Linked DNA regions of Lepisosteus oculatus. The protein of the gene in region 1 purifies or fractionates together with the protein of each later gene. This does not show direct contact. Links are inferred from orthologs where the notes say so. Each region holds a gene or a part of one and is shown on either strand. Other genes may lie near its edges.

Region 1 (7,849 bases):
CCACACGCGGCAACACCTTCGGCCCTGGGGATCGGCTCCGACTGTCCAGAGGACCGCAGGAAGCCATGAGCGGCTCCCCACGCTGCTCCCCGCTTTCCAAGAGAAAGCTGGCAGCGATTGAAGCGCTGGCTATCCCACAGAGCGGCTCACTCGGAGCACCGTGAGGCACGCGCGATGTCTTCTCTGCGGCTAGTCTAATAACGATGTTCTGCCAATTCGCTCTCCGGCGGACACAGCCAAAACAAACACGTAGAACTACGGCTACATTGACCAAACTCACAGAGGCTCAGAAGCCTCACGCGAAGCTTCGTTTTCTCTGCAGCGCTTTGACGACCCCATCCGCAAGCAGAGGCGCGGCACTGCGGACGCCTCCAAGTCCCGATCTTCAAGGGCAACGGCTTGGGATTAAAGAAGACTGGGATATGACGGAGTCACATCCGGCGAGTGAGTTCCTCAGAGTTTCGACCCTGACTGCCCCTGCAGGACAGCACCTCTGAAAACGCTGAGGAGTCAGGGATCGGACTCTCCCCTGGGATGAGCACACGGGGCTCTGTGCAGCAGGAGACCGGGAAGTGAAAGTCCTCTCGCGGGGCAACGCTCCTCCGAAACACATTCGCTTTCCCGGCCCGATGCGGCCTGCCCAGGCCTGACACACAAGACGGGTTGATGGCCTCCCCTGCCCTCTCCGGAGATCAGGGCTCAACGCGCAGGCCCGGCTGCAAACGAGACCAAGGAGAGGCCCTGGTCTGTTCCCTGGGGAGAGCCCTCACATTCCCACGTGGTCAGCAGAGACTGGGAGCCGGGCTGCGGGGCAGGGAAACACGAACCAGCCAGGGAGCAGCCTGACCGGCTTCTTCAGCGATCAAGGGGAGCCCACGGGGGTGCAGACAGACTGCAGCAGCCCTCGCTGTAACCAGGGTGGCCTGTTGTTAAGGAAGCACACCGAAGGCCGCACCCCAGTACTGGGAGATATGGGTGCAATGGGGTGGGGAGCGACTGCTCGCCGGAGCTGAAAGCCAGGCGGTGATTGGCGCCCGGTGGAAAACAATGCACCCCAAGGTGCGCGTGTGAAAGCAGATGGATGCCGAAAAGCTGTAAATTACATCACACTGGTTTGTAACCGCACACTGGCTTGGTGCAGAGAGCTGTTGTGCCCGGAGGTCAGGGCGCGGATGAGGGCATCTCACACACCCAACGCCCGCACACCCCTGCTCTGCACCCCGGTACACGCGACCCCAAAAAAAACAGAACGGAGGAGGGGAAGCCTGATGTCCGAGTGATGCCTTGAACCCCGCCACCGGGTCTGACTCAAGCAGAGGCTGTAGAGCCGTCTCCCCACAGAGCCCAGCCTCGGCACTTTCTAAAGCTCTGCCAGGCCACTGCCTCACGCAGGGACGCGGCCACGGCACCTGTATGAATCGGCTTCTAACAGAGCAGCTGCAAAAAGTTACTTGTTATTAAATGATTATCTGTCATAACAGCTGCAATACGACAGACTCACAGGAGCATTGACACCCTCCATCTCCATTCCAGCTGGTTCTCTCATTTATTAAATACACTAAACACGGGCTGCTCAGACATACAGCAGGATGTCATCTCTATACACAGGGACATGATAAGTTTGACACTCATTCATTCTAGCCAGGGGGACTGAAGGTTCCTAACTTGTTACCCCGGACTGGAATAAAAGTGGAATGCTTATTTCTACACAAAGTCTGTAATTATGGGAAATAAACTCATTCTACACAAACCTTAACCAAAAGACAAACGTCATGTCTGAACCTCCAAGAGGTCACTTTTAAACGGGGGCCACTGAAAAACAAGGCTGCCTTAAATTCGCGAATAATAGTTGCAAAGAGGGGGTGACAATAAAAGCTTGTATCTGGCTGGGTATTTCGGGCTTTAATATTTAAATATGCTAAAGTCATCAAGTGACATATAACACCGGCCATGATGTACGAGTGCAGAAGCAAATCACAGGATAAAGCAAAGCATCCGTTTCGTTAGGCATGGTGATCCGATACTCGCAATCACACGCCACGCGTGTTGACAACGCTCCTGCCCGAGACCTGTCAGCTTGCCCACGCCGCCACCCAGAGGGTTCTCCCCGGGCAGGGACGAGCAATCGGCAACTCGCGTCCGTCCTGCACCCCCGTACCTGCTCGACGGTCGCCGGGTCCAGGGACTGCAGTCTGGCCGCGTTCTCGTATTCGTCCTCGCTGTTGTATCCCGCTCCTTCCTCCGGGTCCGGGCTGGGTCCCCCTCCGCCTCCCCCGGCCACTCCGACAACCCCTCCGCCGGCGACACCGCCGGCACAGGCCGCCTGCCTCCGCCTCTTGCTGAGGCCGGGCCCGGAGCAACAGCTCCCGACTCCGGCGCCCACCCCGACCCCCGCGCCGCACCCCACGCCGCCTGACAGTTCCCCGCGGCCGCCGGCCCCGCACGGCACCCCGCCCGCCCCGCTGCCGTCCGCCGGCCCCACGGGGGATCCCGACCCCACGGGCGGCGGCGAGGCCTGCTGCGGCCGGGAGCTCGCCTCGCCTCTCCGGTCCTCCCTGGACGAGGGCGGCGCGGCCTGGTAGGGCCAGCGCGGCGGGGAGGCCCTGGGTCTGGCGCCGGCTCGGCCGCCGTGTGTGTGGGGATGAGGGTGCTGGTGCGAGTGGGGGTGGGAGTCCGGACCGCTCCGCCGGTCACTCTCGTCCGGGTGGTCAGGCACCCCGACTGTCGAGCTGGGTTTCTTCTTCGGAAGAATCGTCATGGTTGTCTGCTTTCGCAGGGGGGGGCTGGGGAACGACGATTCCTCCTTTCAAGCGGTGGCCGTTAACGTGCGCTGTGTTGTGCAGCAGCCCCCCCTGTCTGTGGACCGCGCGTAGCCCCTTCGCGATTTCCAAAGGCGTCGTTTTACCTCTGTCTTTTTTCCCCTTTAAAAAAAAAAAATGAAACCCCAGTCCAACCCCGGGAGCTTTCTCACTCGGAGAACAAAAACAAGCCGGCCCTCCTTCCGTCCTCCAGCCTTCCACAAAACATCAACACACACACACACTGCTGACGACACGCCGACGTCACTTCCCGCAGCCGCTGACAGCTCCCCTTCCGCACCCGTCCGTCACTCTGCCTAGCAACCAGGGACCAGCAGCCCCCGCGCGAGTGGCGCGGCGCCGCTGTCAAGGGGACAGTACCTGCACAAAACAAACAGCTACGGGGTTTTATAAATATATGTTTATACCTCCCCCGGCTACATTTTCTGTAATCTACTAGGTGTTTAGATTTCGTGACTTTTGGGATTGAACCGTCCACGTGGCCCTTCCTGAATATCGTATTAGTAGTAACGAGTTGATTTTTTTTTAAAAAAGGTATTTTCTTCCAGAAGACAATTTCGTGTCAGTACAATGTCCTTTGTAGAATCCGTAGTCCGAGGATTTAGAAACCGATCCTTGTATTTACAGAAAGGAACTTTATCATTGCATACACTAAGGGGGTTATTTATAAAAACGCAATTATTTATACAGTAATTACAATCAAATAATCGTGTGCTTGGTAATTATAATGTGCATTTTGGAAAGCTCCTGTATTCAATTTTAATATCTCATAATCACAGAATATTTCACAACACCTTTAGATTAAACGGACAATATTTCTTCTTCTTACTCAGATTCTCAAGCCTACTAAACACGTTTACCACAGTCGATTATGATATTCATACATTTAATCCGGTTAAATTAGTGCTCTCTAAATGTAAGCATGAGCAGGATGATTTGTGTGTTTTTTGTCGGGCTGAAGGGGGGTCTTCGGTGCTTTTATTTGTTAGCTGTAGGTTTGTGACGCTGTTTTGGACGGACTTGCAGAGTTTTGTTTGCAGGCAGTTAAAGGTGCGTTTTAGATAAAGGATTTTGATATTTTATGGTACTGTTTAATAGAAAATTTGGAAAAAGAGCAAGTTATTTATAGTAAATGTATTAGTCATTCTGGGTAAATATCACATTCATAAATCAACAGGGTCTAATACTCCCCTTTTATGTACTTTTGAGGTGGAGTTGAAACTATTTAAATTCTATACCTTTTTGGAAAATGTGAAAGCAAAGAAAACATTTGATATATGTACAATTTGATCACATCATTTACTTCATTATCTTTTGCAGTTAATTGTTTTTTTCTGTTTGTTTTTTTCTGATCCTCTGGTATTTATATTTGTAAATTCTTTATACGTTTAATAAAAAAAATTAAAGAAACAACCAGGGAGACGCACAGGAACCCACCCTCCTGCAGAGCAACATCTAATGCAGGGACGTGCACAGCGGGGTGGCTACACGGGCTCAAGCCCTTGCCCCTTTGCCAAAAAAGTCCCAACAATTTCCTTTTTTTTCGCCTCTTAACGATTCTGCTTCTGTATTTATTTACGGATCTCCAGTTAGGGAAAAAAAAACGTTGGACCTAATTGATCTCACCCTAGCGCCAATGCCCGCCTCCTGTTCGTTGTAAAAAGCGGAGAAAAAAATCAGCGATAAGCAACGTACTGTAGGCTGCTCCACCTGTGGAGGTCGTGTTAAACGTTAAACGTGAATGGCGAGAAGAAAACGCTGATTTTTCAGAAGTACTGTACAAAAGTAACACGCCAAGGGTGTCGTATTGAGCACTGTGTGTTTAAGGAAGACTGTTTTCATTCACCTGTTCTAAGTTTGGAAACCGACGAACTCGCCACGTTATTGTCCGCATGGCTGCTTAGCTAGATTTGAGATGTCCTGAAGAAAATGTAGTTTGAGTACACAAGCCAGTCTTTTTGTATTTGATATAAACCTCTAACAGGCATATTCTTTGTTGTGTATATATATATGGTTCAGTCAGAAACGGGAGAGTATGCCTTCAGAAAACAGAAGAAGAAAAAGAGAAAGAATTTAGGGAGGCAGCTGAAGGGAGCACACCGCCTCACAACTGGGTCACAACTAGCGCCAGACGGACAGGTCCCTCGGCTGCATTCTGCGTCCTGTACGCCTCAATAACAGAGGAGTCTTGCCTCACAAGAATGACTACATCGGTAAATGCTGCACGACCTAAGTTTTGAAGAATATCAAAACTGCCTGTAGCCTATTTACAACAAATATACAGGTTATGAGAGCATTATCATTTTTGGATATCTCTGCCAAGTTTTTTTTTGGACACGACCAATAAATTATTCAATTGGAATTACATTTATAGCTTGATATGTCATTATAAAAATTGATGTTGATGTATAAAATAATGCTTAAACTTCTAGTAGTGTAGATTGAGCAATTTCAAGAGATATCCAGTACATGATAATAGAGAACAAGTAATAGGTTTATTCCACGCTGAAAAAAAGAAGAAAGAGAACACAACGTTTCGGCCGTGGAGCCTTCTTCAGGTGCCGAAACGTTGTGTTCTCTTTCTTCTTTTTTTCAGCATGGAATAAACCTATTACTTGTTCCTTTGCAGCCTACGTATGCTGACGCAGCTACCCACCTATAATAATAGAGATATAATGCTTTATAAGACAAGGAGATAATCTGTATCTATTTATTTAAGATGGCAGATGATACTTTCTAGCGGCCTCTTGAATATTTGTCTCACAGTAGACATTTCTTGGGGGATAAAAATCTTGGATTTAATGTGCTATCATGTGAACCCTTGCTCTCGAGATGGAAAGAGATTGCATTTGGTATTGCATGTAATTAGATGGTAAATCTTTTGTTTACTCTGTCCTCTTGTTAAGATGTCTTATATCAGGAAAATAAAGTATATGCTCTGTAGAGGGGGTGTTATATCTTGTCTGTAAATCAAACATAATTAGCAGTTATGGACAACCTTTTTTTTGTGAATATTATAATGCCTCTGAAGTCACATCCAAACTTCCTGTGAAATCATTTACCAGCTTCAACGGAAAGGCCGGGCAAGTTGTTCCCCACTCCCACAACCTTTTGTGTAAAGAAGTGCCTCCTGCTCTCAATGTAATATGCTCTTCCACGTATTTCCCACATTTGTCCTCTGGTTTGTGTTTGGCTGTTGATTTTGAAGAACTCCCCCAGACTGATTTCGTCTGTGCCCTATAGGAATACAGGCCCCAGGTTCTCTTGTAGTCTTCTCTGTCTAAAAAGGTTGAGCTAAAAGGCTCAACAGACATATCAGATCGTCGATATATAATGTCAACTTAAAAACTCCCATTGAACCCATTTATAAGGTTGTGCCTGCTGGAATTCTTTAATCCAGTGAAGGACCCCTGTTTGTGAGGACATTGTCTTAAGTGTTGTCCCTGCCAATATACGGTAGCACACAATATACGGGGAAAACACACTTTTTGAGATTTCGTCTTCTAATGTTTATTATCATCCTGACAAAAACTCAATTTCTGTTTACAAGTGACACTGTGCTTCATCTTCATCTGTTCATTATTTGCTCTGAAATACAGAACTGCACTGCACATTTGATTATTCACATACAAATATTACAGGAATGTGTTATTTTAGCTTTATCAAAAAATACAATAACATTTTACTTCACCGAGGCTAAAAACCACTGCCACTACTCCTTCATAAACACTACACTACATGTTATAACAACACTTACAATATTTTACAACCATTCGTGCAAAGGACATTACCTGCACTCAGCTGTTCATAGTAGTTCAGAACGCAACACACAGTCATTTCAGCCGAATGCTAAGAGCAGGTCTCCAGGTAGAGAGAAGTCAGGTGAAAACGATGGAATTAAGAATTGAGAGCTGACAAGGATGTTCTGCAGACGCAGTGGTCCTAGTATAACTCTGAAATTTATTTTTTTCCGGGATGTTTGTTGTTTGATCGTGTTGTGTATTGTTTGTGAAGGAGTTTTGATGGTAGTTTTTAGCCTCATTCGTATACAGCATTGCCAAAAATACCCTGCTATTGTTCGAACGATATGTGTATCACTGCCAACCTACTACGGTGCCTATTTAGATTACTTTAAAGTTGCATTGCCCCATCATTACCCAGCTGTAGCGAAGACATGACTAATAATCCCCATCAGCTCCTCCATGATATTCGAGGCTTATGAGAGCTTTCTCAATACTCAAACTTTATTACAGAAAAAAAAATCAGGAGAAAGTATTTCTGTTTCTTCATTTAGAAAATGCTTTTCTTGACACCTGAAGATGGACAAAACACATCTTGGTCTGTGATCCAAACTGTCCTCATCGTTACAGCGTGTTTAAAATGCACATACTGTATGGGCTCTAAAGTTTGACTGAGCTACGTCAGTAAAGAAACACAAACCAAAATATTTTTTTTTAAATAATTTCTAAATAGGCCTAAAGTGGTCAAAACCTGCTCATTCATTAACATCTCCTTCCACCACATCTTCAAGGTGCTGATCATCTACTGAACCTGCTGTAGCCGGTGTGTGTCCTGGGCTACGTGGCGAGAGCTCTGCAGCAGATGTTCTGTTCTCCCTGCATACAGTACTCCACAGCTGCTGCAGTGCTGGCAGAAGAAGTGACAGAAAGTGTCATTCCAATTTAGAAGGAGCAGGAAAAAGCTTAATAGAATGTGTGGTGAATTCCAATAATAAATATTAAGGATACCACTCCCTCACCCCCTGGAAAAATAAAACAGGCATAATTCCCCCTGGATCTTGATTCTTAATGTTCTTTTTTATTTTGGGATGTGTTCAATGCCTTAGGTTATTATGATTCTACTAATCTTAATGCTAATAAATGGGGCAATGAGCATGGGATTTGAAAAATTAGTTCATGAATCTTCAAAAAGAATAACCTGGGGAAGGTGATGTAACGTCAGAACACAATATACACATAAATATGAGAACAGTTCGTCCAATGAACAAAACAATATAGGCTGCATGTATG
Region 2 (7,049 bases), on another chromosome or scaffold:
AGCGGTGTTCCCAACACAAACCACACAGAACAAAAAGAATTGATAACAAATGAAGACAGTGAATAGGGAGGATTAGACAAGGATAGGGTTACTTCTGCCTGAATCAGATTCTCATTTTGGTCAAAGAATTTTCACTCATCTCTTAGAGACGTCTGCATTTCCATCGCATGACGCGCGAACTCAATCCGTTGTTTTAAAGCGCTGAATTGAATTAGGTCCCCGTGGAGAGGATTAGATCAAATCCCCTTGCCCGTGCCTCGGGGGGGGGGGGTTGAGATGATGTAAATTCTGTTCATCACAATGCTTTAGTACCTTAAAAGCTGAAAAGTTATACAGCCCAAGTCACGGTGCAAACAATGTTTTCAGCACAGCAATGTTTCTTATAGCTTTCGCCTTGCTATCTGGCCGACAAAAACCCTGTTTATCGCACAGTGAAAACGCTCATTACTTTTGGTCTGTGGCTGACGTGTCCGCCCAAGTGACTTGCATTAGTCCCCACCTCTACAGCTAATAATTCTACTGGCACAATCTCAGTGAAGAATCTTGCTGCTGCCCCTGTCGATAAACTACTGACCAAATTGATGATTTGTATTTAAATCTGACTTGTTTAGTCCCTCTTACATTTCCACACTCTCATCATTCAGATAAACCCTCCTTACGAGCAGCAATGTTGCCTGGAAGAGCCAGCTTGTCAACATTTTGCTTCAGTCTGCACATCCTTCTCAAGGATGAATGGAGCAAGTTGAATGCCTGACCTATGATAAATAATACATTAACTCTCGTCTCTTGATACTTTTGCAAAGCTCTTCTGTTTCTGTACTTTCACCTCCAACATCATGGGCTGCCAATGTGTGCTTCAGGTTAAGAAGCCAGGTAATCAATCAGTTTGATTAAGCTTGCAAAGTATGTAGTTTTCATTTTTGCCTGATCTTGCAAAACTCATGAATGGGGTGAATATGAATGGGGAGAGGAGCTGGGCAGAATTAGAAACTCTAGCAATTTACAGAGGAGTTGTTAACTCCTGCCTCTGGGGCCTTACAAGAGCAAACAAAAGTGAACAATGGGCATGGCTCTTTTGTGTAGGCAGCAGTCATCACACTCGTTCAGGCTTGCTCTTGGAAGTCTCAGAGGCTTCCAAGACGTTTGCGAAGGTGTTCGCACTTGCAAGACAGCAGAAGTCACACCAGTCAGCCCAATTAACAATGAGGGACTGTAGACAGCCTCACACCTGCTCTACTAGAGAATAGGTGTGCTGTATGGTTTGTGACAAAGCAAAGGAAACATTCAGTAACGTGAATGAAAGAAGTTCTGACATTTTAGTACTATGGAATATATGTCAGAAAATAAAGTCACTTTGTGGTATTTTACACTGTACTAACATGAAGGGGGTTCTCTTTTATAGTTATAGCCTGGAGAAATAAAACAAAATTAGAGACCAATTCAGATGTTCAGTATTCAGGGGCTGGGTATGTCTCCAGTGGTCATGTCTGGCACTGCAATAATGAGTCTAGTTATTGGACTATGATCCATTTGCTTTCCCATATCAGAAGATCAGTTGTGCTCTTTATCTTGTCTGTTTTGTTCCTGATTGCACAGAATCTGTTGTCCAACTGCATAGGTTAACAGAGGATGTCCATTGTGAGCCAGTGTTGCTTTATGCTACAGTAAAGATGAAACAAAAAAGAGGTATATGTTTTTTTTTTCAATTGTAATTACAAATGAGATTAATGAAACATTAAAATAATCATTTGTCACTTACCATCATACATCACTTATGTGCTTAGGGGGGTAAGATATAAAATCAACCAAAAGAAACACCGCTAATAGCCAATGGTTGCATATCTTCAATATTTTAATGAACTATATTTGTTTTACTGAAACTCTGCCTGGGTCGTGTGCATTGCAGCCATGTTTTGCAGAAAACAAGTCTCCTTGGCATTTAAGGCATCTCTGTTTTGGGTGGTGGCAGACTGGGTGGACTACAATGGGCTTGTTTAATTTCAGAAACAAGGCGTTAGACAAAAACAGGACAGAACTGGGACCGGGTGGGACTGGTTTCTAAACTTAAACTGCCAGTCTGACAGTTTAAAATGATAGTCTCACACAACCCATCCCTTCAAGGAAAATATACCGCTACCACAACACTGGGTATTTTGTGGTGAAGGAATAAAAAATTGTACTCGGGAAGTCTGGGCTGGAGGAGGCTGAAAGAGTTAATTTTGGGGGGATTGGTCTGGCGCATAAACAAGACGCCAGCCTGAAAGGTTTTGATTTAGGTTTTTGTTTCTCCCATTCCCTTATGTGAATTTTTAATTCTCTGTGTGAGAGGGAGCCCAGACTCCCGCTTAGTGTTATTAGTATTTTATTGACAAAACACTTGTTCTCTTAAGCTCTGGGAACATTGTCTTGATATACACCATGTTTTCATTTGCATTTCAGCAGATTGACAGGGGGACTTATCATGGGCCCATAATTCCAAACTGCACCTAGGATATTGTAAGAAAATAAAAACCAGATTAAATGCATTAGACACATTTAGCCAAAGGTAAACAAAGTGCTTTTTCTAGCACAACTGACATTCCTGTAGGAACTATATAACTATATATTTTCAGTTCAGAGAAGTGGAGTTCCGATGTGTTACATTTTATATACATCAGTTCCTCACAGATATCGGTCATCCGTCCATCTTTATTATTATAAAGAGTTATTATCGGACCACGTAGGCCTATACAGGGCCAAGGTGAGCTGGAGACAGAGGCCAGAGGGAGAGCATGCAGAATGTGCTCTATGTTGTACTCGAACACCAGACCAGAGAGCTTTGGAGACTGGAGAGAGCACTGCCATGCTCCCCCGCATAAATAATTTTAGGAAATTTTAATAATTAGTTTTAATAATAATATTTCCTTGCATCCGCACGAGTGCCTTTCACCCCAAGGGTGCTTTCCCTACAGGAGGGGCCCCACATCGTCCAGTACTGAAGTGCGCCCCCACCAGGGTGACGCGCAGCAGCCCACAGATCAGTGGGAGGGGAGGGGTGAGAATTTGCTTCCCCAGTTGAAGTAAGGAGGGAACTCTGGGGAGGTCAGATCGTACAAGCACACTAACAGCGCCATGGCAATTTTAAACGACCAAGCAGTCAGGATCGCGATCTAACATTTAATCCGTAGAACGGCACCTCCTACAGAGTAGCAAATTGTCTCTTATCGCCATACTGGGGCACCGGGTTATAAATTCTGGCCCAGAGGGAAGAGTGCCACCTACTGGTCCACCAACACCGCTTACAACAGCACTGATCAGGCCCACCCCAGCATCATCCATCTCCTGATACACAGGTCGGAGGTTCACGATTTGCGGGCGATCAACGAACGCCTCGCACACACTTCACAGTATTTTCCTATAGAGAGTAAAAAAGCTCCACCTTCCGGACACACAGTGTAAAGCATTCCGAAAAATGAATAAAGAACAATTAAACCCATTGTCCATAAAAGTTAACCCATGTTTGCCGGAGCTGAGAAAATCAGTGATGAGACGATGTAGTAAAGCAATGCTCCACCGTGCTGTTTAACCGACTGAACCACACGGCATAGTATTTCTTTTTAGACATTTCTGTGGTCAAATAGGAGATCCTAGAAATATCCCTCAGAGTTAAAAAAAAGAAAACAAATCTGCAGGTTTGTTTGGCAACATTTTATCGACGAAGTTGTTAACCTGTAATGCCTTCGTGTTCCCCTTTGTTACTATCAGAGCAGAAACGACAGAAGCACACCACCCAGATTTCGGAAAAAGTACTTTAATGTCGTTAAAAATAAAAAAAAATCGACACATGTCGCGTTACCTCGGTTTTACGTAAATGTACAGAGAGGGGCACGGCGTGATCTCCAACCAACAGTGAGGGGGGAAAAAAAAACCCCAACCACAACACATTTTTATCGACGCCAAATTCATTTAAGAACAGCGGGCCGGCTGCGCCTTTAAAAATTACAGCGGTCGGAGGTTGTTGTTTTTTTTTCAAAGGGGGAGGGAGAGCCCGACCATTTTGAATGAATTTAGTGAGCTCACTTCCTCTCGGCTTGCTATTTTCCCCCTCGGTCGCAGGATTTTTTGTGTGTGTGTGTTCTCAATCGCTTTCCATTCGTAGGGAGCTAAGAAGGAGAGAAAGAGAGGGAGGGAGCCATTACGAGGTTGCTAACCGACACGACCGGGAGGCTCGGCACACACTTGGGCCCGATCTCAGCCAGACCTGCAGAAGATTACGAGGCCGCTAGGAGCTTTTCCCCCCCGCTGCTGCAAACGCATTTTTTAATCCTATTTTTATTCCTCCTCCTCCTCCCCAAGACTGTAAACGCAGCAGACACAATAGTAAACAAAATGGAGAACGAAAGCAAATATCTCCCCGAGTTGCTGGCGGAGAAGGACAGTCTGGATTCCTCCTTCACTCACGCCATGAAACTGGTGTCCACAGGTAAATCGAGCCGCTCTGGAAACTTTTCGTTGTTGTTGGTGGTTTTTGTGTGTGTGTGTTAAGGAATAAACGGGGCGCCGAGCTGCCAAAAGCCGACGAGAAGGGGGGCTTTTCTTCTTCTCCTGCTGCTGCTTGTGACGGTGAAAATGAAAAGCGTAAATGTTTCTGAAGTTGGCGGGGGGAAGAGCGCACGTCGTGGGGAAGAGTGTCTGTGAGACAAAGGGTTTCGCTCACCCCTCTCGCACACGGCCGGGTACTTGTTGGGTTTTTAATTAAAAAAAACGACACAACGTTTTTTTTTTAATGGTGTTTAACATAGTCGGGCGGCGTTGGTGTTCTTTGATTCTCGCTTTTAAATTTTAATTTAAAGCCGGTAACCCGATCGGGTCGGCATTCGTCTCGGGTGTCTGCCGGCGGCGTGGTGACGACGAGCCCCGGGCCGGCCGGCCGGCCGAGCAGCTCCCCGGTGAAGCCGCCGCCGTAAAATGTAAAAAAAACAATAAAAACGAGTCGTTTTTGACTCGTTTCTCGGGGGGGTGAAAGGCGAGGAGAGGAGAGCGTGTTTTCCCACGGCGTGGCTTTGTGGAGTGTGAACAGGGCACTGTCGGGGAGGGAGGGGGGCATCAAGTTGCAGGAAAGGATGGCGCCCTGCCTGCGCTCCTCGGGTATTGAAAGTGTGCGTCTCGGTGCCGACGGTCCCTGCATCTCGGTCCCTTTTGTTTTCCGATCTTGATGCGGTTTTATTTTTCTTCTTCTTCTTCTTCTTCTTGTGTGTGCGTTTCTCTCTCGCCACGCCTGTCCGCCGGTTAAATTGCAATTCACGAAAAGTTGGGATGCTGCTTTTGTATTTATGGGAAGTTTTAGCTGTGGGGGGATGAATGTGCGTTTCTGCAGGGGGGGTACAACCGCCCCCCCCCCACCCCCGAGTACTTATTTTTCATCAGCAGAAGAAAGATATTTTAGAAGCGACCTCGGGTTTTTTTTTTATGAGTTGAGCTGCAAATCGGGACGTAGGTTTTTAAACTGTAGCGCAGCTTTAAGCACGATCTGCATATGATGAGCGAATTGATAAATGGCGAAGCTCCCCTTTCTTTAAAAAGAAAAAGTTACAGAATGGGGAAAAACGGATTTTTCCATTGCCGGACCGCCTTGATTGCAGAAGCGTTAATTGTTCCCTTTGTGGAGAGATGAAATCAAGCTTTAGCTGTCGTGCCGTTTACACGATTGAGCGTGTTTTGCATGTACGGAACCGGCGCATTTCAGTCGCTGGGCTCTGGGTTTACCTCAAATGCTTTTTTTTTTTTGGTCGACGGGTTTTAAGGAGTTTATCAACCCCGTGCCGAGACCTCGCACGGTAAATATTTCTCATGACACGTTTGGAAACTTCAGAAAGAAATGTTATCAGCCTCGGGATTTAGGGTCCAACGATATGTTCTTTTACAGCCTAATTCCAGGTGGCATCTTTCCTAACGGGGAAGATGGTTCCCCGATGCCTTATTTCTGGATATTTGTTTGTGTGTGTGTGTAACCGCAGCACCCTCAGTGTTTCAAATAAATGACTTTAAAACGACCGAGCCTCACTTGGCCTCGGTGGGGAGAAACCACACAGTCAGTCTCTCGGAGGAAGAGGCGCTTTAGATAACGGTGCTTCAAAAAAAAAAAAGCTCTTTTCAGGTCCCTCTGTCGGGGTGCGAGGCTCTCTGCAGGGGTAACTTCATTCCTTGGCACGTTTCGAGTTTAGTCTTCTGCCAACATCTCAGCTCGGGACTATTCGCTTGCCCGCTGTTATATTTTGATCCCCGCCACCGTCAAGTCCTCTGTTAGTTTTTTTTTTAAGTGGATGGCGAGACCCCCGGTGGGCATGGATGTCTTCAGGGTGGGGGGGTGACAGTCCAGAGGGTTGAAAAAGACTGAAATAGTTTTTTTTTTCGCTCCAAGCTGGGGGGGGTGGGGGTGGAGGAAAACCGTTAACGTGGCAAAATTATATTTTGGAACAGGACGCGATCAGACGTTGCTCTTGTTGGGAAGGAGGTTGAGAATAGCCCAGTCCATCGCCAGACGGGAGATGTTAAGCGAGTTGGGGGGGTCTCTCACGCCCGCTTGCCCGCTCCTTGAAACCAGCATTGAGCCTCTCGTCAAATGCCCATCCACGTTTTTTTGTTCTTTTTTTTTAAAAAAAAGAAACAACTTTCAGGGTCTGAAGACGTGGAATACTATTTTCTGGTTCTTTGGCAGTGGAAACTTGAATGTTTTCCAGCTTTTTAAACGGTGTGCCTGTTTCATATTAAGACGAACATAGTTTCTGCAATAAAAGTGTCACAAGTGGTTGTAAATGCTCGTTTCCCCGTGCTTGCCTGTGAGCTCCTGCAGTTGCTGGTTTGTGTTGAGCACTGTGAAATTTTTACACCCCCCTTTCAATTCTCACTTCGTCCGCCACTGCTGGTGGCTTGAAATAAGATTATTGAAATGTCTGGTTGCATCGGCGTGTTAATTGGACCAGCGGCACGATGGCTTAAACGTTTCAGTCTTGTTCTGTTGGCGATGCCGCGGCTGACATAGTCTTGCATCTAGCTTGGCTTCTGCCTCC
Region 3 (6,958 bases), on another chromosome or scaffold:
GTGGAATCTGCGACACTCCGAACATCAGAACGCTTGCAAACGAGAGGGAAGCCATTGCACACTTAGAGCTCCTGTTTTCAAGATGTTTTGTTTTCCTGCGTCATCAGAACAACTCGATTAATGAGTCTGGGGTCCCTGGAACGTGACCTAGATGTGGTGGCGAGTCTTATCCGTGTCCCGTCTCTGGACAGAGCACCTTTGCTCGAAGAATTATGTTAAGCACGTCTGTAAACCTGTCTTGTGGCTTTGGAGTGAATCTAGCCAACACGCCTGAGAAGCGGCAGATTTCGTGTGCGGAGGCCATGCCGAGGCGAGGCTGACCGGGGCGCCGGCGAGTCACAGGGGCCTTTGTTGCCTCCTCTGTGAATCGGCCTCTGTCCCGCGCGAGGCGCAGGTGGTCGAGCGGGAGGAGGCAGGGGGGACAGAGACAGTGCGCACCTGTCAGTCCGCGCCGGCGCTATCGGGGCCCCCCGATCGCCTCGGTGACGAGCCCAGAATGTGGCGACTCTACGCGCCCCACAGTGGGCAGGGAAGTGGGGTGGGGGTGCGGACGTAGAAGATCCATTGCCACCGTCTCCATTTCCACACCTGCGACAGGTTATGTCAGCACCCTGCCAAACACACACACTGCCCCTTGTTCCCCCTGCCTGCCCGCGTCCGCAGCTGCCTCTCCCCCTGCCCCGCTCAGCGGGCCCGCGGAGGACCAGACAGAGCCGCGTCTGTTACAGGACAGCAGGCACCTGACACCTTCCCCCTGCTGCAGCAGGAAGGGCGTGAGTCTGCTCTGAGAAGACGCCAGATACCGGGCTCCGGCCTCTCCCCCCCCTGCGGAATTCACACGCGGGCGACCTGACAACCCCGCCGCACAGAGCAGAGCTTGTTCTGCACATTTGCATCACCGGGAAACGTCTTTGAAGACGTATTTGAGGATCAACATGGACAACACCAAAAAAAAAAAAAAAAAGGATTTGTGCACTGAAATCAAAACAAAAGGAAAATGATTCAGGGGTGAATTTCAAAGCACTGTGTGGCCACAGCATTGCACAGGCTTATATCTTGCGGTGTATATCACTGGGGTCATGAGAGGTGTTATTTCTCTGTGCTGCTCACCCAACCCTCCCTACTGACCCCTGTGACCCCCATGACCCGGTCTCACCGATGGCCCTGCGGAAGTTCTCCATGAGCACCTCGGTCTTCTTGATCTCCGTGGAGTACACCTCACTGCCCACCATGGGGCAGAAAGGCACCTTGTTCCCCAGCTCCTGAGCCATGGCCAGTGCCAGAGCAGTCTGTCAAGAGAGAGGGGCAACGTCCAGTAAGCACCAGATAGGTCCGAGCTTATCAAAGCTACAACTTAGAACAGATCCTTCTATAACAGAGTAACAGGTTAATCAAACAGGTTGTACAAACAAGCGTACACACAAGAGACAAATGCATTCACGCACAAACATGTTAACTGCACACAATTGCTCCAGTCCACAAGGGCCACAGGTCAGGCCGAGAAGCACGGCATGCTGGGAGCAGTAGTGCCTGACACCACTCAGGTTTCTGCCGGAAAGCTCGTTCAGTTCGCACTCATGTCAGCTGTCGGGTTAAGGGAAGGAAAACATGGCTACGGAGCTGATAATATTATAACGCTAAATGTATATATAACAGATATGTATGGATTTATCATGGTGGGTAGAGAGAGAATCCTGCTCCTACAAAAACCTTATGTTTCCATTTTTGCCCCATTCTGTTAGTACACAGGGTGCTGCTGCTGTGATCTCCAGTTCTCCCCCCAACAGTTACCTTCCCAGTTCCTGGGGGTCCGGCCAGCAACACCGCCCTGCCGGCCATCTTCTTGCAGCGGATCAGTTCCACGATGATGCCGCAGGCCTGAAAGAGAAAAGGTGGCAGTTCAGTTCCAGTCCACGAGCAGAGGAGGGGAAGGAGTAGGGGAGGGAGTGGACAGCCCACGCAGGGGGAAAGACGAGAGGACGAGAGGCACAGAAAGCAGACTGGCCGTTCCTCGCCTCTTCGTACCTGCTCTGTCCTTCCTCTCCTGTGCCCTGTTTGCGGGTTTCCCTCTCTCCCTCATGACCGGAGAAGGCTCCACAGCTAAAAAGCTGAGTTTCTTCTCTTTGCCCTTCTGTCTGGAACGAACCTTTACCTGTGTATTCGGGCCCGACACACGGCTGCAGAGAAGTGCTAACAGCCCCAGAGAGAGACAGCCCTGACAACATGAGATGTGCTGTGTGGAGCTTTGACCTACAGCAACACAGGACCCTGGAGCTGCAGGAAACTTGGGGGGGTTGGAGTGGTGCCAGACACGGACGGGGGTCTGAGTAACTGCATTCGCCCCAGTAAAAAGCACAGCTGAGACGCCCCCTGGAGGACGGCGGCTGACCACACACCCGCACACTCCGTGTTCCGCTACACTGCCACCGGCTACGTCTGAGAAGCCTGGCCCGATAAAAAGGAAGTATTTTAACCCACCCTAACCCTTCAATGAGTAAACCTCAGAGCATCCAATTTTCAGAGTCTGCTATTCAAACACACGCCAGGTAAACACGGCTACAGAGGACCTTTCTACAAGTGTGCACGACATTGTAACCCAAGCAGACGTCCCCTGAATACAGATAAAAGGGCTTCGCTGGTGACTTGGTGTATTCCATTTAGAGACAAGCAGCTGGGAATGATCATCCGCAAACCGCGAGCCCCCGGGCCCTGTAAACGTCAATGTGCTGGACGCGGCGCCGGTACCTCTCTGGCGTTCTCCTGGCCCACCAGCCCGGCGGCAGCCTGCTTCGCCATCCCGGCCTCGTCCAGCCCCAGGCCCTTGACATGGCTGTGCGTAGCGATGCGCTGGGTTTTCGTGGTGCTCTTCACTTCCTCGATCTTCATGCCTGGACACACGGTTCAAATCGTTCCGGCGGCTCTGAAACCTGGGAGACTCCTTACTGCGTGATGCTGGACGGTTAACGCCGGCGCGCGTTTCCATGTGGGTAACCAAGGAGGTGGAGGAAGTTCCGCCCTCTCTGTCAGCGGCTTTCCAGTCGCAGCTCTGATTGGTCAGATTTACGGAGACCTGTACAGTGATTGGATAGGGATGGTGTCTGTCTAACAGACGTCCTTTGACCCCGCTCAACTAGTGTTTTGTCGGCAGGATTTCTTTCCGCTGGTGTTGCTCCGCTCGCCGTCCCCATGGAAACCAAGCGTTTGGTTTTAGAGAAAAATACATTAAACTACAATAATTACAACCAATCCTGCTCATCGTTATTACACGCAACACGTTCGTTTTAAAGAAAATAATTGTGAAGATGAAACTACAATTTGTATAAGAATGATCTTATTGTAAATATCATGCCTTTTATCTCAAATTACTACTGTTCTACTGCGTTAAAAATTTAGTAAAAGTACAAGTTAAATAAGGCGTTAAAATGAAGTACATTTTAAAAGCAGATTACATGGGCTTATCAAACACATCTATAGGGGAAAGAAGCCACTCGACATATTTTAAGCTATCTCTTTTACTGCTTTTAACAATGACGTTTGTGTAGGATAGGAGGTTTAAACAAACCTCATAGTCAGGGCAGTCATCTGCACTGCTGCTGGTACTGGTACAGCAGAAACACAACAAACATGTTCGCCATCGGTGTTTCACAACGGAATGGGATAGTTGCTACACCGGAAGTGTAGTTTTTCCTGCGGGAGACAGCGCTGGAGTTCTGCAGGAGTTCCGAGAAATTGTGTTGCTTGATTAATTATCGCAGCGGCAACAACAGAAGAGAAACGCGGAAACGGGCAGGGTTCGTGTTTGAATCGCCGGGGCCCACATTAGTAAGTTAAACCCGGCAACGTGTGGGTCTGCGGCAGGGCAGAGTCCAGTTGAGCAATCCGGGGATGGCTGCGATGGCCGGCTCGGCGGAGGGCGACGGCACCGCGACCCTGAACTTCAACGTGGGTGTGCTGGGCCATGTGGACAGCGGGAAGACCTCGCTGGCCCGGGCGCTGAGCAGCACCGCGTCCACGGCGGCCTTCGACAAGAACCCGCAGTCCCGGGAGCGGGGCATCACGCTGGACCTCGGCTTCTCCTCCTTCTCGGTGGAGCTGCCGGAGCACCTGCGGGAGCAGTGCCGGGAGAGGGGCTTCAGCCGCCTGCAGTTCACCCTGGTCGACTGCCCGGGGCACGCCTCGCTCATCCGCACTATCATCGGGGGTAAGATAGTGGCGTGCCGACAGTGCGAAGCCTCTCGCTGCTAACTCTGGGCCTCCTAAGCTGTGTCTGCTGCCTTTGATCTGCACAGCTGGTGCAAGTCCTGCAGCTCCGCAGCGTGCAAGTTAGGAAAAGGCGACTGCGTGCCTGGTGTCCCGGACCGGACCGGATTAGACCAGTGTCCAGCTGCTGTCCGCTTCCCGGCGAGAGCAGCTGAGCTGCCGTAGTTCATTCCCCAGGCGATGCCGGTCTCGCATGTCAGTGCTGTGGCCCCTCTACAACCTCAGCTGCTCTGCAAGTTCCAATGCTAGTTTCGTAACTGCTGTTTTAAAGATGAATCCCGGGCGATGCCCTTCTGTTACTGCCGTTGACAAATACTGGCGAGGGGCCGTCGGTCGAAGATCTGAATTTTCTTTACATTTCAGGGCAAAGCTTAATGTCAGAACCAGTGGAGAGCCGCACAGGTGTGCGTCAGCGTCATCTTGCTGCAGGGTGTCTCTTGGGTCGAACCGGGTCCCTGTGTTGTGGGGTCGAACGCGAGGTCTGGCTCACTTTGCAGAGCTGTGTTGTGCTGCAATGCCAGCTGTCACCAGACGGTGGCACTGTTGCACTGCTATTGCAGAGAAAGCCTTGAGTTCATACGAGGGCCGCATCCAAGCGCGTACAGACTACCGGCCGTCTTGAGCCGCAGTCCGTCGCTCTTGCACGCGGGTCTTAACTCCACCGTTCTTTTAGGATTTTCATCAAGACATGTGCGTTTGCCTAGGCTGCAGTCAGGCCTGGGCTGTAGCTCCCCTTAACCATTTAGCAGCTTAATCACCCTGTAACTCCCAGCTCACAGCCCACTGGAGCTCAGCAGGTGTGAGCCTGGTCAGTACCTGGAGGGGAGACTCCTGGGAAAGCTGAGGCTGCTGCTGGAAGAGGTGTTAGTGGGGCCAGTAGGGGGCGCTCACCCTGCAGTCTGTGTGGGTCCTAATGCCCCAGTATAGTGATGGGAACACTACACTGTAAAAAGGAGCCGTCCTTTGGATGAGACACAAAGCCGAGGTCCTGACTCTCTGTGGTCGTTAAAAAACCCAGGGCGTCTCTCGAGAAGGGTACGAATGAGACCGGGTTTTCTGGCCAAATTTCCCACTGGCCTATACCCATCATGACCTCCTAATAACCCCCCTCTCTGGACTGGCTTCATCACTCTGCTCTCCTCCCCACTGAGAGCTGGTGGTGGGGAGCGGACTGGCGCATTGTCCAGGAGGGGTGCACACTGGGGGTGCTGGAAGGGATCCCCATTACCTGTGAAGCGCTGTGAGTGGAGTGTCCAGAAAAGCGCTATATAAGTGTCAGGATTTATTAAAAAGCCGTATCCAGGAGCTCCTCTCCTGTGACACTGGCCGCAGGACTCTGGAAGGAGACAGACCTTCCCGGAGGAGAGTTACAGCAATTCCTCCCGGAGGAGCAGACTTCCTTGCTGGCTGAGCTGTGTGAATTCAGTCCCCCTCTCTCCTCTGGGTTTCGTCTTGATGTTGTTTTCTTTTCCTCTTCGTGGATGTCGGGAGCAGCCGATGCTTCCTGTAACAGGAGACGCGGAGAGGCGGAGGGAGAGTGGCTCTAGTGTAAACAGCGTCCGGGGCTGCCGCGCGGATGAATGCGGGGCTGTGTGTGCGCGCGGCTCGGCAGATGATCTTAATTAGGGCCGGAGGAGTCGGTGGATGAGTTTGGGCACTTCCTCCCGGAGAGAGGGGACACGTCCAGGAGAGCTTGCGTGCTCCGTCCGTCTCTCCCTCTCTCCTCTCACCTGCACAGACGCACTCTCTCACACCTGGGAACCAGTGTCCGTTCAACACCTCAAATAAGAATTCTGCTCCAGAGCCAAATTGTGTTACAGCAGAGCAATGCCTGTGTCTAGTCATGTTTGACATTCCTGTATGCGATACCTGTGTGCAGGTGTGTTACAGTGGTGTGTGTGTTACCTGTGTCCAGGTGTGTTTCAGTGGTGTGTGTGTGTGTTACCTGTGTCCAGGTGTGTTTCAGTGGTGTGTGTGTGTTACCTGTGTCCAGGTGTGTTTCAGTGGTGTGTGTGTGTGTTACCTGTGTCCAGGTGTGTTTCAGTGGTGTGTGTGTGTGTTACCTGTGTCCAGGTGTGTTTCAGTGGTGTGTGTGTGTGTTACCTGTGTCCAGGTGTGTTTCAGTGGTGTGTGTGTGTGTGTGTGTTACCTGTGTCCAGGTGTGTTTCAGTGGTGTGTGTGTGTGTGTGTGTTACCTGTGTCCAGGTGTGTTTCAGTGGTGTGTGTGTGTGTGTGTGTTACCTGTGTCCAGGTGTGTTTCAGTGGTGTGTGTGTGTGTGTTACCTGTGTCCAGGTGTGTTTCAGTGGTGTGTGTGTGTGTTACCTGTGTCCAGGTGTGTTTCAGTGGTGTGTGTGTGTGTTACCTGTGCCCAGGTGTGTTTCAGTGGTGTGTGTGTGTGTTACCTGTGCCCAGGTGTGTTTCAGTGGTGTGTGTGTGTTACCTGTGCCCAGGTGTGTTTCAGTGGTGTGTGTGTGTGTGTGTTACCTGTGCCCAGGTGTGTTTCAGTGGTGTGTGTGTGTGTGTGTTACCTGTGCCCAGGTGTGTTTCAGTGGTGTGTGTGTGTGTGTGTGTGTGTTACCTGTGCCCAGGTGTGTTTCAGTGGTGTGTGTGTGTGTGTTACCTGTGCCCAGGTGTGTTTCAGTGGTGTGTGTGTGTGTGTGTGTGTTACCTGTGCCCAGGTGTGTTTCAGTGGTGTGT
Region 4 (7,087 bases), on another chromosome or scaffold:
TGTACTCACCAAAGGCATTCTTCGATTCAGACAGCCGCTCTTCATCAGTGGAGTCGATCACGTATATCACCCCATGGGATTCAGCGTAATACTGCACCAGGAGGGAAACAGATCTGAATCAACCCTGAGCAGAGTCTGCATGAACACCTTTCTCCCCCTTTCCCTTTCTTGCAATATGTCTCAGTGTTGAACAGGGATTAATTTTTGCCTCAGTACACAGTGGGAAAAGACTGCAAGACGCGTCAGTAAGGCCACATCTGGCACATGGTGTACAAGTTTGTGTTCCACATTACCAAAAGACATTGCTTCTAGGGAGTTTTCCCAGGAAAGAGTAACCAGGTTAGTTCCTGGTTTTAAAGTAATGTTACACTGGTCTTGAAAAAATGAAATTATGAGGACACTTGATTCATGCATTTAAAATCTTTCAGGTTATTAACTCAAATAATCAAGTTGGAAAAGTGGATACTGAAAGGATGTCCATTCAGTACAAAGTATGGAAGTATTTTTTTCAACAAGTTACCCATTACTGTTGTTATAATGAAGCATCAAATGGTTCCATATGTTCTTATATATAGGTCCTATGACAGCTTCCTTTTGGTAGCAAGGCTCTGGGAGGTGTGCAAAATAAATGACGGTTGTAATTGGGCTCAGGAATTATATATAACACACCCTAATAAAACAAAAACTAAAAAAGTTTTAAATAACATTTAATACCACTGATAACCCTTCAGTGACCTCTAGTGGTCTTAATGGTCACTGCAGGTGTCTCCATGGGATAGCCTACCACAATTGTGAACAGCAGTGCTTCATGCCTCACATTGCAAAGCAACTGATAAATATTTAGGAAGAAGATTCTGTGAATCACAATATGAGCTATTCAGTTGCAGATTTTAGCTATACTATATATTATAGCCAGGGCCGCATGGCAGTGCAGTGGTTGGCATTGCTGTCTCATAACGCTGGTGCCCTGGGTTTTAATTCCGGGCCTGGGGTGCTGTCTGTGTGGGGGTTGTATGGTCTCCTGTGTTTGCGTGGGTTTCCTCTGGGTGCTTCCATCTCCTCCCACAGCTCAAAGAGATGCTGGTAGGTAAACTGGCCCCAGTGTGAGTGTGTGTCTCTACGTGCCCTGTGATGGACTGGCATCCCATTCAGGACGTATCTCGCCCATGGCCCCCCAGCAACCCTGAATTGGATGAGGCAGTTAGACCAGTTCAGGCAACCCCACTGCCTTGCCTTACTTTGTCCCACAGTGACTGCAGCTCGTCTTGACCTCCCAGGTCCCAGAACATGAGGCGCGCCTTGCCCACATCTATTGTGCCAACTGATCAGGAAAAGGGAAGGACACACAGATCAGTCTGATTTTAAAACATTGGCTGTACTGTCTAGATATATAAATATACTGTACAATGTATTTCATACAAAGAGGATCAAAACTTACTGTTCAAGCCCACAGTGGTGGTGATCTTGGACAAACTCATGCCCTTATAATTCTTGCTGAATTTAGTCTTGGTCTGCTCCAGAAATGTCTATAGCAATAAATGGAAACGGATGAAATCACTCAGTTGGCAAAATCTCACTGTCTAATAATACACACACACATATATATATAATGCATTTGCAAGTGTACAATAAGAGAATCACATGCAGGATTTTATATTGCCCATAAATCATACTGTCCATAGGTCTAAAAGGCATTCACTAAATTCACTAAAACAACTTACAGTTTTCCCTGCATTGTCTAAGCCGAGGATCAGAATGCAATATTCATCCTTCTGGAACATGTATTTGTACAGACCCGATAATAAGGTGTACATCCTGGAAAACAACAACCAAAAAAAACAAAACAAAGATCATTTAAAATGCCCATTTGGACTTTAAAAATACACATTAACAGATGCTTGATATTTGAGCAAGATCATACGCATTGCTTGATACTTTAAATCAATGCAGAGTAAAGATGTAGAGAAACGAGCCAGTTAATACATAGACAGGTAGGTGTAGATAGATCCACAAGGTAGGTGAAGAAGTCCTTTTTGGATAAGAAATCATGTGCGAGATAGGATTTATTGTAGTGAGAAATTTACCTTTTTTCCCCCAAAAAGCACAAAACCAAGTTTGCTAGCTAGCAGAAAGTAACTTGGTAAGTGTGGCTAATGACAGCCTTCTTACACAGAGCACAAACAGGATGGGAGACATGTGTTGAACTAGTCTTTCCAAACAATCAAGTCATAATATGGTATTCTTTGAAGAAAGTTCAGGTGGGCAGCTGCATCAGCATGCGTAGGCTGCAAAGGAACAAGTAAAAAGTTTATTCCATGCTGAAAAGAGAAGAAAGAAAACACAACAAATGAAGAAATGAAGAAATGGTGACATGGACTCACAGTGGTTACCACTGCAGCCTCAAAGCGCTGGGGTCTAATTTATAACAATGATCTAGATTCCGGCACAGTTAGTACCAAAGTCTGAAGATTATTTCAAAATAGGAGGATTACCAAACCAAATTGAAGATGAAAACACAAAACAGGAAGATTCTGATAAAATGCTCAACTCGGAAACATCCTGTCCTATGATGTTTAATCTAGACAAGTGCATATTATTACATGCCGAAAGTAAAAATGCAGTATAGATACAAAGTGAGGAACAACGGACTTGAAAAAGCTAAAGAGAAAGTGTTTGTTGACATTTGTATCTCCAGTTACAGTGGGCAAGCAATAAAAAGGTCAACAGAATATGAGGGGGAAATTATTAAAATTTCAGGATTTAAATCGAGGGATGATATGTCAAAACTATGCAATGCACAAGTAAGACCTCACTTAGAACACTGCATGATGGTCACCATGTGACTAGAAGTCTAGTGCGCTTCTGAAAATGTTCTAGAAAAAAGAGCAACCAGGTTCATTCACATTAAAAGGATGCCCTACATTTTCGGGACAAAGTGCTGAACCTTTTTAGTCTCAAAGGCAGATGACAATGAGGGGGACCTGATTTCAGCCTTCAAAATCCTCAAAGACATTGGCAGTGTCAGCCCAGTGTATTTCTTCACAATAAACAGAGAAAGACAACCCAGAAGTTACAAGAGGAAACTAGATTGGAGAACTTTTAAAACTGAGAACAGGATACACTTTATGGAAGGGCCATTATATGTATTATTTTATAGAGTTGATAATGTTATTATTATTATAACTATTACGTTATAACTATAATAAATATTATAATGTATACTCCGGCCTCATCAGGGAACGACTGGATGAGAACCCAGGATCAATAGCTTCTAGTTACCAAACGGGCGAAATGAGAAGAATCGTGACGTTAGTTCCGTGCTTCTGATTATATCTCGGCTAATGTTTACCTTTGTGTCTGGGATCGCCCGCACTTTACTTGCTGTTTAAGGTCTTAATAATCCAGCTGAGATGGAATTGAGATGATAGATTTCACTTTATAAAACCGTACAAAGGCGAATAGCTTACACACTCTCAGGTTAATATAATTGTAAATGCTAGTTCTTTTGTATTGGGGTGGATGTATTTAAAAGTGCGCTGTTAGAGATGACTGGTATTCCATCTAATTTTACTTAGGACTAAAATCCTTGTATACAGTACTGTCAAAATAATGAGCTCAATTACATTATAAAACAAACAAAACCAACTGGTTTGCAGCAGTACAAACCACAGGCTATAACTATTAACTCTGAATCAACATCCCTGTAAAATAATAATTTCTCTAATCCGTCGCTCTTTTCCTTTTTTGTTACCATCCTTAGATGTTAAAATAACCATACATGCATTTGAAAACTGCTCTTATAACACATTTCCTTGAACTTACCTTTCATTTGCGACCAAGTCATCATCCGTAAATAGGAAGTGCTTACCGACTGGCAATGCACTGTAGGAATTGATGTTTTTTGTTGGTTTCACCCCCATGGCTGCTGAACGGATGTCCTGAGCTTGAAAACTACAAATCCCAGGATACCATTGGAAAGGAAAAGGCCGGCGTGTAGTTTGCAGTGGTTACTGGGAATTTACGTTTTCACTGGTGCTTCTAAAACTGTAGATGTGGTCCAAATACACTACAATACCCACAATTCACAAATATACTCTAATAACTTCCTCTCAAAAATGGAAGGATATCAAATTGTCATTTAAATGGTGACTGCAATATCAGAACCGGTAAATGTAAGGTTACATTGCTTTTCTTATACTACATACCTATCAGTAATGCAGGATTTCTGTATGGAAGATTGTTAGCAACAGTTAGCAACTGAGCAACAATTTTTTTTATTTTTGTATTCCAGTTTATATATTTTGCGATTATACATCCTGATCAGTAGTTACCGTAAATATATTTAAAGGCATCAAACGCAAGAGATAAACATAGTTTTGGTATAAGTAACAAATCTGTGTTTTTAAGGCTCTCTTTGTATGTATCATTTAGTTCTTCGTGAATAAACGATTAAAAGTAAACAGTATTTTAAGAAATAATTTCTGGTTTAATATTTGTCTCCGTTACATGTTATAGATGTTATAAATGTTATTTTTCGTATGTGTAATTAAATTACTAAAGATATTGCTTTACAATTACACATTTTTGAACGGCGCCTTAATTAAAACTAGCAAAATACTTTTAAAATCAAAGCAATTGCTTTAAAGTAGCAATAAATAGCACTTATTGCATGGATTGCTTATCTCAGTGTTAAAGCATTTTCAGAGACAAATACGCTAGTTTTAGTACCCAATTTTTTACCTAGTTTAAACAGAGGTTCATACGGACGTCTGTGAAATGTTGACATCAGAAACCTGCAACTTAAGATGTGAAATCGATCGTTTCGTCTCTGGGATGCGTGACAGGTCTCATCTCCGTGTTAATTTATTCGGAAAATTTTATTGCTTTATTCTTGCGCTGAAGGCTAAATTGTCGGATTTCTCATTCTTCCAGCTTGCATCCCGGAGTAGATTGCCCAAGGGATTTGGAAATATCAGCTTCGGGAAAGCTTGGTCAGTTTGAGACAAAGGAGAAGAAGCAATCTCATAAAGGTATTTATGGGAGAGGCAGCAAGTGATTGGATTTCCTCTACTTTGAACATACTGACTCAAGCTTTTCCGCATGACTGTATTAAGACGAATGCTCGCCTGCTGTGTGCAGGGTGCCTCAAAGTGCAGGGATAATCACGGTTTTCCGTAGTTTGAACAGGAGAAACAGTTGGAGGAGGGAGAAACACATCTCCAGGTTAAAGCGTTTGACCTCTCCTCTTCCTCGCCAGACCGATTCCTGAATGCCGGCCTGTCCCCCCGGTCGTGATGGACGAAGGTAGCTTGGAGGCGGCCATCGAGACTTACCATGCCCAGCTCCAGCAGGTGGAGACGGCCCTGGGCGCCGGGCTGGAGCCCTCCCAGCAGTCCGACCTCCTGCAGCTGAAGGAGGACCTGCTCCAGCTGATCGAGCTCACCGAGGCCAGCCTGGTGTCCGTGAAGAAGAGCCGGCTGCTGGCCAGCCTGGAGGGCTCGTCGGCCTGGCCGGCGGAGCCCCCCGCGGGGCAGCCGCCGGCGGGGGACCCCGGCATGCGGGACGAGTTCGCTGCGTTTTACGCGGCGGTGAGCGAGCCGTCCTGCGCCGAGCCTTCCACCAGCGAGAGCGCCCCTGCGGCCCAGAGATCTGGAGGAGGATCCGGCAGCCCCGGATCTCAGCAGGCAGCTGAGGAAGAGGAAGAGGAGGAGGAGGAGGAGGATGTGATGAGTGGCATGAAGGTCTGTGCCCCTTACCGCACCTCCTGGGGAACGCTGGAGTACCACAACGCCATGGTGGTGGGCACAGAGGACTCGGAAGATGATGACCCGCAGGTCCGGGTTCTGTATGTCCACCCGACCCAGAAGTCCATGAAGCCCTGCCCCTTCTTCCTGGAGGACAAGTGTCGCTTCATGGACAGCTGCAGGTGAGGAGCTGCAGATTGCCACTGGGAAACTGCATCTGTTCCCCTCTGGATGGGTTCAGAGGCAGACTCGCACAACCATTGTACCCCTGAAGCTGAAAATATGATGGAATGCATTGCAGTTGTTTTAGCTCTTGCATACCTTTCTGTGATTTATTCCAAAGAATTCAAATTAAAAAATACACAGCACCTCCTTCTTTATAACACACTGGATTCTTTATAGCTTCTTGGCTGCTATGTAACACAGACAAAAAGAAACATATCCTAAAATAATGAAGCATGTTCACTCGGAGATAAGATCGCTTTATTGGCCATATACAATTTCTTGCACTAGGAATTTGTCTTTTCACATACCCCAACTTGCTCTCCATGAGACCCACAGACAGGGAGAGAAGCTTGGGGTTAGAGCGCAGGGTCAGCCACTTATACGGCACCCCTGGAGCCGTTGGGGTTAAGGGCCTTGCTCAGGGGCCCAACGGAATAGGGTTCCTCTGCCGGCCGCGGGATTTGAACCGGCAACCACTGACGTGGATTGAAGTTGGGGTTAAAGCTGCACGCTGACCCCTGTGATTGCCGTGCCTTTAGACAGAACCGTTGTTTATAAATGGAGCAAAGCCGTTGTGATTCGGCTGCTCTGAGCCGGCGCTCCGGATCGAATCGGAATTGGAGTGCCCGCGATACCGAGCATTCCCGTCCGTTCCCACACTGTCGTGAATCTCTCCCCGAGTTCGTCCTTTTCGCCTCCTTCAGGTTCTCCCACGGAGAAGTGGTGTTGGTGTCCGAGCTGCGGCCTTTCCAGGAATCGGACCTCAGCTCACTCCAGGAGGGCTCAGCCTGTTTAGCCAGGCATGAGGATGGCATCTGGTACCCGGCCAAAATTACAGGTTTGTGGTGATCGCTCATAGGCCCTGAACGCACGTGAGGTACTCATGAAGTCGTCCGCACAGTGGACTGGCCAGCTTGCACTCATCATTGTTTGTCCAGCCATTCTGAAACATACATTCAGGTAACAATTTCAAAAAATGAGACAACACAGCAATATTGAGCAGTGTTGGCATCTAACAGCAGCATGCAACGGCCTAATCTCACCAAAGCCTTCTTTGAAGGGCTCTCAGGGTTTGGTGGATTGTCCACAAATCTAAGTCTTTTCCCCGTGTGGCCCGT

The links. Proteins that work in one complex are often made in the same cells at the same time.
Region 2: the proteins of otud5a (region 1) and khdrbs1b purify together in Homo sapiens (affinity purification with mass spectrometry, with the first as the bait; 3 studies listed by BioGRID). This does not show direct contact. The link is inferred for Lepisosteus oculatus from reciprocal best matches to the Homo sapiens genes OTUD5 and KHDRBS1.
Region 3: the proteins of otud5a (region 1) and ruvbl1 purify together in Homo sapiens (affinity purification with mass spectrometry, with the first as the bait; 3 studies listed by BioGRID). This does not show direct contact. The link is inferred for Lepisosteus oculatus from reciprocal best matches to the Homo sapiens genes OTUD5 and RUVBL1.
Region 4: the proteins of otud5a (region 1) and zgpat purify together in Homo sapiens (affinity purification with mass spectrometry; 3 studies listed by BioGRID, with this or other methods). This does not show direct contact. The link is inferred for Lepisosteus oculatus from reciprocal best matches to the Homo sapiens genes OTUD5 and ZGPAT.

Annotation. Positions count from the first base shown.
Region 1 is NC_090697.1:76,471,813-76,479,661, forward strand, and holds the start of otud5a (OTU domain-containing protein 5-A), read right to left. Parts: upstream 3,021-7,849; 5' UTR 2,759-3,020; coding exon 2,159-2,758; intron 1-2,158. UniProt on the Homo sapiens protein: Deubiquitinating enzyme that functions as a negative regulator of the innate immune system. Has peptidase activity towards 'Lys-48'- and 'Lys-63'-linked polyubiquitin chains. Can also cleave 'Lys-11'-linked ubiquitin chains (in vitro).
Region 2 is NC_090706.1:3,047,658-3,054,706, forward strand, and holds the start of khdrbs1b (KH domain-containing, RNA-binding, signal transduction-associated protein 1), read left to right. Parts: upstream 1-4,026; 5' UTR 4,027-4,368; coding exon 4,369-4,462; intron 4,463-7,049. UniProt on the Homo sapiens protein: Recruited and tyrosine phosphorylated by several receptor systems, for example the T-cell, leptin and insulin receptors. Once phosphorylated, functions as an adapter protein in signal transduction cascades by binding to SH2 and SH3 domain-containing proteins.
Region 3 is NC_090699.1:66,360,205-66,367,162, forward strand, and holds the start of ruvbl1 (ruvB-like 1), read right to left. Parts: upstream 3,024-6,958; 5' UTR 2,887-3,023; coding exon 2,746-2,886; intron 1,879-2,745; coding exon 1,792-1,878; intron 1,290-1,791; coding exon 1,157-1,289; intron 1-1,156. Other genes in the region: eefsec (selenocysteine-specific elongation factor), read left to right, coding at 3,886-4,201. UniProt on the Homo sapiens protein: Possesses single-stranded DNA-stimulated ATPase and ATP-dependent DNA helicase (3' to 5') activity; hexamerization is thought to be critical for ATP hydrolysis and adjacent subunits in the ring-like structure contribute to the ATPase activity.
Region 4 is NC_090711.1:13,476,536-13,483,622, forward strand, and holds the start of zgpat (zinc finger CCCH-type with G patch domain-containing protein), read left to right. Parts: upstream 1-4,064; 5' UTR 4,065-4,172; intron 4,173-4,932; exon of another isoform or gene 4,933-5,030; intron 5,031-5,257; 5' UTR 5,258-5,294; coding exon 5,295-5,926; intron 5,927-6,673; coding exon 6,674-6,807; intron 6,808-7,087. Other genes in the region: arfrp1 (ADP-ribosylation factor-related protein 1), read right to left, coding at 10-91, 1,239-1,321, 1,439-1,526, 1,722-1,815, 3,823-3,920. UniProt on the Homo sapiens protein: Transcription repressor that specifically binds the 5'-GGAG[GA]A[GA]A-3' consensus sequence. Represses transcription by recruiting the chromatin multiprotein complex NuRD to target promoters.